Daphnia pulex: one gene and its partner. The protein of the gene in region 1 interacts with the protein of each later gene in a pairwise test. Links are inferred from orthologs where the notes say so. Each region holds a gene or a part of one and is shown on either strand. Other genes may lie near its edges.

The links.
Region 2: the proteins of syntaxin-16-like (region 1) and alpha-soluble NSF attachment protein-like interact in a two-hybrid assay, tested with the Drosophila melanogaster proteins (2 studies listed by BioGRID). The link is inferred for Daphnia pulex from reciprocal best matches to the Drosophila melanogaster genes Syx16 and alphaSnap.

The regions. Positions count from the first base shown.
Region 1 is NC_060020.1:4,604,034-4,607,916, reverse strand, and holds syntaxin-16-like, read right to left. Parts: upstream 2,482-3,883; 5' UTR 2,231-2,481; coding exon 2,150-2,230; intron 2,092-2,149; coding exon 1,843-2,091; intron 1,780-1,842; coding exon 1,611-1,779; intron 1,334-1,610; coding exon 1,107-1,333; intron 1,024-1,106; coding exon 814-1,023; 3' UTR 736-813; downstream 1-735. Other genes in the region: oxidative stress-induced growth inhibitor 1-like, read left to right, coding at 1-94.
Region 2 is NC_060021.1:555,409-559,617, reverse strand, and holds alpha-soluble NSF attachment protein-like, read right to left. Parts: upstream 2,787-4,209; 5' UTR 2,650-2,786; intron 2,583-2,649; 5' UTR 2,572-2,582; coding exon 2,477-2,571; intron 2,417-2,476; coding exon 2,220-2,416; intron 2,155-2,219; coding exon 1,990-2,154; intron 1,937-1,989; coding exon 1,689-1,936; intron 1,598-1,688; coding exon 1,421-1,597; 3' UTR 814-1,420; downstream 1-813. UniProt on the Drosophila melanogaster protein: Required for vesicular transport between the endoplasmic reticulum and the Golgi apparatus. Also between the endosome and phagosome.

The DNA of each region.
Region 1 (3,883 bases):
ATCCTGTCCATTGGAGAGGAAAGAAGAAGTGTCAAATCCGCCCATCCTTCATGTCCCTCAAGAATCCGTCAACTACCTTGATTGCCCGGCGTGACGTTGATCGCCATTTAGTTTTACCGGGGGTATTAAAAGCGTTCCTAATATTGAACTTTTGCGAATCAAAGGCGCTTTTAGTCCCCTCATTTGTATCAGCGGTTATTGATACAATCTATTGTAAATATCACGAAACACGGTTTTCATCTTTGAGAAATAAGTCCGAATCACCACCCTATTACACCTCCACTTCAACGAGTGCTCTGCTAGTCTTCGTTGTGCCTTCTCCTCTCTCTAAACTTCGTTTTCTACTACTCTCATTTTTTAAGAAGCTTTCGTTGAGAAATTTGAATATCTATTGTTGATTTTCTTTATGAATTTACTGCTGATAAGTAGAGCTTATGTCTTAAATGGCATCGTTACGGTGCTATACGTTACGCGTGTCCTTACTGAAAACATTTCCAAAAGGAATTTGATTGTTTCCAGGACTATAGCTTTAGGGGTGCGAAACAAGAGCGGTTTTAACGTTCTGTAATTTGTTTTTGCATGTCAATACTAAGGACGACCAATGTGTTTTTGGCCCTAGTTGGTGACGAGAGGGGTAGCTAATATTGCGACTGTAATTGAAAATGTACACTTCATATTAAAGTTACAACACCTTAGAAAATTCAAGTGTTTTGAACTTGTAAAACATATACTATGCAGCATTTAAACACGTACATTTCCAGCAGTTCAATACACACATGGAAAACTTGAACAGAAATTAGATTTTCTATTTACTCAAGATTTAACAGCAATTAAAATAATGATTAGAAGGATGATGGTGGAAACCAAACCGACAATGCATACCATCTTCCGATTTTTCTTTTGATAATTATCAGCTTTTTGCAGATGAACCAAACCGTCGTGAACTTTAGCTTGTGTATGCTCAATATTGTAGTCTATTCTATCCAAAACGGTACCTTGATCCGCGACCATGTGAGAGATTTCCTGCAGATTTAAGAAAATGAACAAAAATAAGTTACACCATAATGAAATAATGTTGCAATGCTTCAAAGTGTCAAAGAAATTACTTTAAATATCGAATTCAGTTCGTATATCGAACGGACCACATTTTGAATTTCCTTCTCGCGCTGTTCAACGAAAGACGAATTTTCTTCCTGCAACATCAATTGCTGCTGGCTCATCACTCGCGGAGTTTCGGTTTGGCTGCTAGTATTGGTCCAGTCATCATAATTCCAATCCTTGGAGGAAGTTCCACCAAAAAATTGTTGAGAACGTTCCTCGCGTGATTTAATTTCTGTTGGGCAGTGGGCAAATAAGTATATACATGAATTTACATTTTTGTTACGAATTGGTTAATTGATTTTTAAACTATTATCTAGGTGCAACAAAATACAAATCAGAGATTTGAAACTACATTCTTGTGTGATAAAGAAATGAAGATGACTGATGAGTAATGATTACTTATCACTTAGAATAAGTAATATTGACATGATAAAAGTGCTGTGACTGGCTTTGACTGTGACTGGAATGTGCTATACTTTGTAAAAGAAATAAATGAATAAGAACTGAACTGTTCAGATATGCATTCTGGTCACTCCTGAAGGTGTTTGATAGATTTTGTAATGTTGTTACCAAAGATGTGACCACATTTTTGGCAAGATTTGCTTCTGCCTGCCCCAGACTAGGACTAGTACTATTGTACTGAATCCTTTTTATGCAATTGTGGCAGGTGGTAAACATCTTCAGAATAAACAAAGAAGGATTGAAGTTTTAAACAATTTAATTAATTCTAATCTGTAATACTTTGGTTATGTCTTGAGTAAAGGCATCAATCTGCTGCTCTTCATTCATCGAGTCATCAAATGTGGGCTTAAGAAGATGTTTGTTTTGAAGAGAGCTCAACTCTTTTAGTCGAGTTTGAATTTTTGTCAAGGTGTACTGAGCCTCTTCTAAGCTGTCTGTCCATTCTGGAGGAATCCTTACATGAGTGGCATGACTCTTGCCGTGAACATCTATTTCATGACGGACCAAGGAATCCGTGTCTGATATGCTCTAAAAGCAAACCATTACCAATTACCAGTAATTTCAAAAGTCAAAATGAGTCACTCACTTGTTCAGAGTAAAAATTGCGACTTTGAATAGCATTGTTACGCATCAGAATGAAAATTTCAGTGATACTTCGTGTTGCCATTTTCTATGTGAACTTTCAGTCGATATTGGGGTTGAATCATCGATATTAAGATGTACGTGATCTAAATTTTCACAAGAAAAATCTAAATCGTACACATCACAATTGAAAACATTGATTTGGATAATAGATATTGCACTGAAACTTTATTTTTTAAATGCCAGATTTTGATTTTGACAATTTTAAATCGATGGACTCGATCCTTGTACAGCTGATTTTGACATTTCGTGGCACATTTAGTATGAAGAAAAGTTTTGGTGTCATCAGCAGCCACTAGATGGAAGTAAAAGAGCGCGTGTTTTTTTTTTTTTTTTTTTAGTTTCAAACAATTCATTAATATTCACCATAGTATTAACTATTAAGCCATTCCTAGCACATTTCATGAAAATTTTTTATGTGAGAGTAAAGAAGTAGTAATGCTAACGCAAATGCCAGACAGCTATGTAATGGTTAAAGTAATTGCTATGGTATGCCATTGCTTATAGTAAAGTGAACATTACAAAGTTTATTATACCAATACGGCATCACTATTTTTGCATACAGTAGATTACGATGTAGGGTTTAAATGTTTAATCATTATAGACTTAGTGTTAGTGCAATCCGTAATTATAACGCAGACGCAGGTGTAGGCTACAGTGAGCATGTATTGACTCCCGTCGTCCGTGGATGCTTAGGGCTGTCACCAGGTGGCTAAATATTTCAGTGTGTTTAGGGATTTTTTCTCCAAGTAGGAATACAGCCTTTTAAGGTCTGAGCCTCTCAGTCCCACATGCACACGAAGTTGTTGCTGTTGCAGACAGCTGGCAGGTGGTTTTCTTTACTTGCAGGTTTGTTTGCTACCTGTACAGCTTGTAGCTTTCGTCACATGCAGCAACACTTCAGAAGAGTTTAAAATAATAAAGTTGATCTGCTTTTTACGGTAAGGATACTCATTTACTAGTTAACATGTAGTTTTTTTGCTTGAAATCTGTTGACTTAAAGGTTAAAAACATTTTAAAAGTATGCCAATTGTTGATTCCTGTGTAATGTAACAGTAATTCCTAGAGATTACTTAGCTAAACCATGCTTCTGTCATTTTGTTCATGTCACACATGACTTTATTTTCTGATAGCAATTGATTTTTCTCCTAATAGGAATACAGCCTCTTCAGGTCTGAGCCTCTCAGCCCAATGTGCTCATGGGTTTGTTGCAGCCAGCTGGCGAAAGGTGTTCTTCTTGCTGGCTTGATTGATACCTGTACAGTTTGCAGCTCTCTTCACATGCAAAAATACTTCAGAGCAAATAAAATTAATCAAGTTGATCAGCTTTTCTACGGTAAGGCTATATAGTTTTTTTGCTTTGTATCTGTTGACTTCTCAGTTAAAACTGTTCTAAGGATGCTAATTGTAGATTCCTTTGCAACTTAAAAGTAATTCCAAAAAAGTGCCTAGTTGAACCAAGCTGCTGTCATTTTGTTGATGTCACAAATGTAAAGCATACAAATGACGTATTTTCTGATAAGGACTTTTTTTCTCCAAGTAGGATTACAAGTTTACAACCTCTTCTGAGGCTCTGAGCCTCTTGATGGCAGTCCAATGTGCAGAAAGACTTGGGTGCATCTAGCTGGTGAACGGTGGGTTGAGTTGTTCATGCAGATTCGGGTGTTGATATTGTTCG
Region 2 (4,209 bases), on another chromosome or scaffold:
ATGCTGGGCAGCAGGAAAAGACCTTTGCTCTTGCCCCACAAGCAAAAATCAAGGCGAAAAGGGTTTGAAAATATAACTAATGGCCTTCAAGAAAACCTTCTGTGTGTTCAGACAATCTAACATCTGCCAAGCGCTACTCGCAACAATTATTATTCGCTTTGAATTTTACAAAGTCCGCTCGGCCCTTCTGAACTTTGGGGCATTATGTACTGTACTACACATTCTCTTCTGTGTTCCGTGCACAAATAATAATAGAAATGAATTATAAAATAAAATTTGAACGCAAGGTTCATCGTCTCCTCTTTCATCTGAAACTGCCAAATTGTTACTTTTCAATCGACTTAGCACAGTCATACGAGTATACTTCCTATACTGCATTCCTTTTCTACTAGTTTTTAAATATAGCACTACTATGTATAGCTATTGTGTACGATTTAGTACAACACGGAATTGGAATCAACACTTGACCGAAATACCAAAAACTTGTAAGTTGTTTTTTCGCAATATGTCCATTTCTGGTTCATTAATCCCACAAAACCCTAGTGAAGTTACCTTGACGCTTGCGCCATCTTTCAATAGGGTACGGCTTTGCGAACATTTGTCATTTTGGAAAGATAAAAAGATACTGCAATATGTTCGTAAAATCGAAAATCTGTAGCATTAATCAAGCTTTTATGAGCCTATATTTTGACAACACACAATAAAACTTTGAATTCTTAATTCTTTTAAAAATCTGTTACAGGACTGCAAGGATTTTAAATGTTAAAAGAACTATACTAATTTATAACTTTAGCCAAAAAAAAACCGCAAAGGTAAACTTCACCACGTTGGATTTCTCTGAACTACAAACATTGATACACACAAATACAAATTTGGTTGAGGCATACAATTTATCCGACAGCAAGAAAAAGGGAAGAAAAGTAACAGTACCGAAATTTTTTGCCTATTCATCTACGAATAATTAAACGAATTTGCCTTTTCTTTTAACACATTTTGCAGTTGAAAGATCAACCTCTATAAAGACAATATAAGGTGAAAAGAACAACTATATCGCGGAGTATATAGTAAATACCAAATTAGGAAAAAAAACCGAGTGAAGTCCAACGATGAACATATACTGTACACTGTAACGTAAGAGAACAATGGACAAGAACGAATTTGAAAAAAATAATAATGAACAGTGTAAGACAGAGAGCAAAAGAATTAATGTGGAATGAAAAATGTATAGAATAGTACACTTCGCGATCATGCTAAAAACGTATGGAACTAGACAATCGAAAGATATTACAACAGAATAATCGTGTATGGGGGAGCTTCTAATGTGTACATGCGCAAGATTAAAGGGTGTGCCATAAACCAGCAAAAAAAGCTACGATATCCTATAGGTTTCCGATCGTCGAGTGGTTTTGGATCTTCTGACTTAACACAAGTCAGGTGTTTCAGCCATCTGCTTCTTGATCCTCAAAAGCATTGTAGTGTACCATTGATCAAGCCGTGAAATGGAGTCATAATCCTTGACCGTTTCGGTGAATCCGTCTACATTGTGTTCTTCCATGTGACCAATGAGTGCCTTGATCAGCTTGCATTCTCGGGAATCCTATAAAAACAAATGAAGTTATTATTTAATTGAGGTCATCCAAACTGTTATTGAAAATCAACATTGTGTTGATCAGAAATAAATGGCATACCTGAAAAGCTGGATACATGTTCTCATATTGCTGGGCAGCATGTTGGGCATTCAACAAATCAATGCACAAGTGGCAAAGGGCAGCCCGGAAGAAGTACTCTTTAGCACTGTACTTCAACAGTGAATTATCCAGAGAAGCTGATGCAACTTGCTCATAAATCTGAATCGCCTTTTGATAGTTTTCCAACTGGGCTGCATACTGAGCCACTTTCAAAAGGCATTTGTTGGCAGAGCTATTACTTTCCTCACCTGTGAATACAATATTTTAATTAAAATGTTTAAAAAAATAAAAACTCTACTACCTTTGAAATAATCAGCTGCTTGTTCATAATGTTGCACAGCTCTTTCGAGATCAGCCAATTCTGTTTCGTAAATCTCTGCAATGGTTTGATGGTGTTTGGCAGCAATAGAAAACCTTCCCATATCAGTATATATTTCAATAGCTTTGAGGAGGCAAGCAACAGCCTCTATTGAATTTAGAAAAATATTAGTTGATATTAGATAAAAATAGAATATAACATGTAATGTTTACCATTGGGCTCAGATTTCTTATAACAGTTGCCTGCGTCAATGTAATTGGTGGCTGCATCATGACGTCCAGCAGCTTTAAGATGTAGAGCTGCTGCCTCACAAAAGGCTTGACCAGCTTGAGACCATTTTTTTGCCATTTTATACAAGTTTGCTGCTCGTTGGTAGCATTCTATAGCCTCATCAACTTTGGATGATCCTCTACACAAATAATTCAATAATCAGAATGGGAGGATAATGCAACATACTGGAATGAATTACCCTCCAAATAGAGAACCAAAAAAGCTCTTTCCCGAGTTCAATTTCTTTTCAGCCTCGGCGATTAGTTGGGCTGCTTTTTGCTCGTTGTCGGCCATTGTGGATTACTCTAAAGTAAGTAAAATTATTTGCGTGTACATAACAAATGTGAATGATAAGACGTTAAATAAACGTACATTTTGCAACAAATGAATACAGCTGCACTTCTCTTGTCAGACAATATTACGTATATCGATCATGACATTCTGCATAACAAAGGCCGGCGAACTAGTATTGTTTAGTCCTTTACTGGTCAGTACGTGCTGCCACCTGCTGACAACATAGTAAAGGCAACAACGCAACATAGGTAAAGTGGCGTCTCCTAATACAGTAAAAGCGGTAAAACTGTCAGAAGTCGGACCAATTAAAAAAAAAAAAAAAAATTAAATTCGATTCCTTACAAATGCCATCTTCACTTCATAACGCTATTGAACCACGCCATTTTCACCGATTGATGGAATTTTTGACAACCGGACTTTGGTATTAACAAGCGATCCACGAATCAAGTAGACCAAAATCCCGGAGCGGCTTTCCTGATCTAAATCCGGAAAAGGCATTAAAAATCTAAAAAAAATATAGCCATGTTCGTCTTCGCACGCCGGATTTACCTGCGTTTGCAGAATGACGATTTTCCCCCCCGTTTAGGAGTTATTTAGCTCTAAAGTTTGATTTTTTGAATTTTGTCAGAAAGTGGGGGGGCTTTGACATCCATTTTGGAAAAAGTGGGGGAGCTAGGGAAAAAACTAATTTTTTGAAAAGGTTTATTGCATACTCAACCACCGAAATCCAAAAGGAATTTCCTTTCCGGATTTTATTGGTTGAGATATTACCAATTTAGTGAAAAGATAATTTAGCTGGTTTCCCTCCCTGGCTTGCAGCCATTTTTTCGTACGGTCCGCTGCGCTCCTGGTGGAAGCCAGCAAAAGGTCTTATATATCGGCCTTCACATTAGACCCATTGCATTTATACAGGCCTTCATATATAGTGAACCCAGGTTTCTTATAGGCCGATGTATAAGACCTTCTGCTGGCTTCCACCAGGAGCGCAGCGGACCGTACGAAAAAATGGCTGCAAGCCAGGGAGGGAAACCAGCTAAATTATCTTTTCACTAAATTGGTAATATCTCAACCAATAAAATCCGGAAAGGAAATTCCTTTTGGATTTCGGTGGTTGAGTATGCAATAAACCTTTTCAAAAAATTAGTTTTTTCCCTAGCTCCCCCACTTTTTCCAAAATGGATGTCAAAGCCCCCCCACTTTCTGACAAAATTCAAAAAAATCAAACTTTAGAGCTAAATAACTCCTAAACGGGGGGGAAAATCGTCATTCTGCAAACGCAGGTAAATCCGGCGTGCGAAGACGAACATGGCTATATTTTTTTTAGATTTTTAATGCCTTTTCCGGATTTAGATCAGGAAAGCCGCTCCGGGATTTTGGTCTACTTGATTCGTGGATCGCTTGTTAAACAAATAAAGAAATTTTAGTTTTAGGCTTTTTTTCATGTGTAAATCAATGCCTAATCAAGAAAATTTCAAATGCAGGTTCATTTGGAGTAATTTAAAGTTCTTGTAATTTTATAGTGATAACGGACCATTTTGTTACGTCTGTTAATTTGATGAATAAAGTATCCCGATTTCGTTTATAAAAAGCAAGAAAAAGGCCAAAAGGTAGTCCGGCGTCGGCAGTGAGGTGGAATAA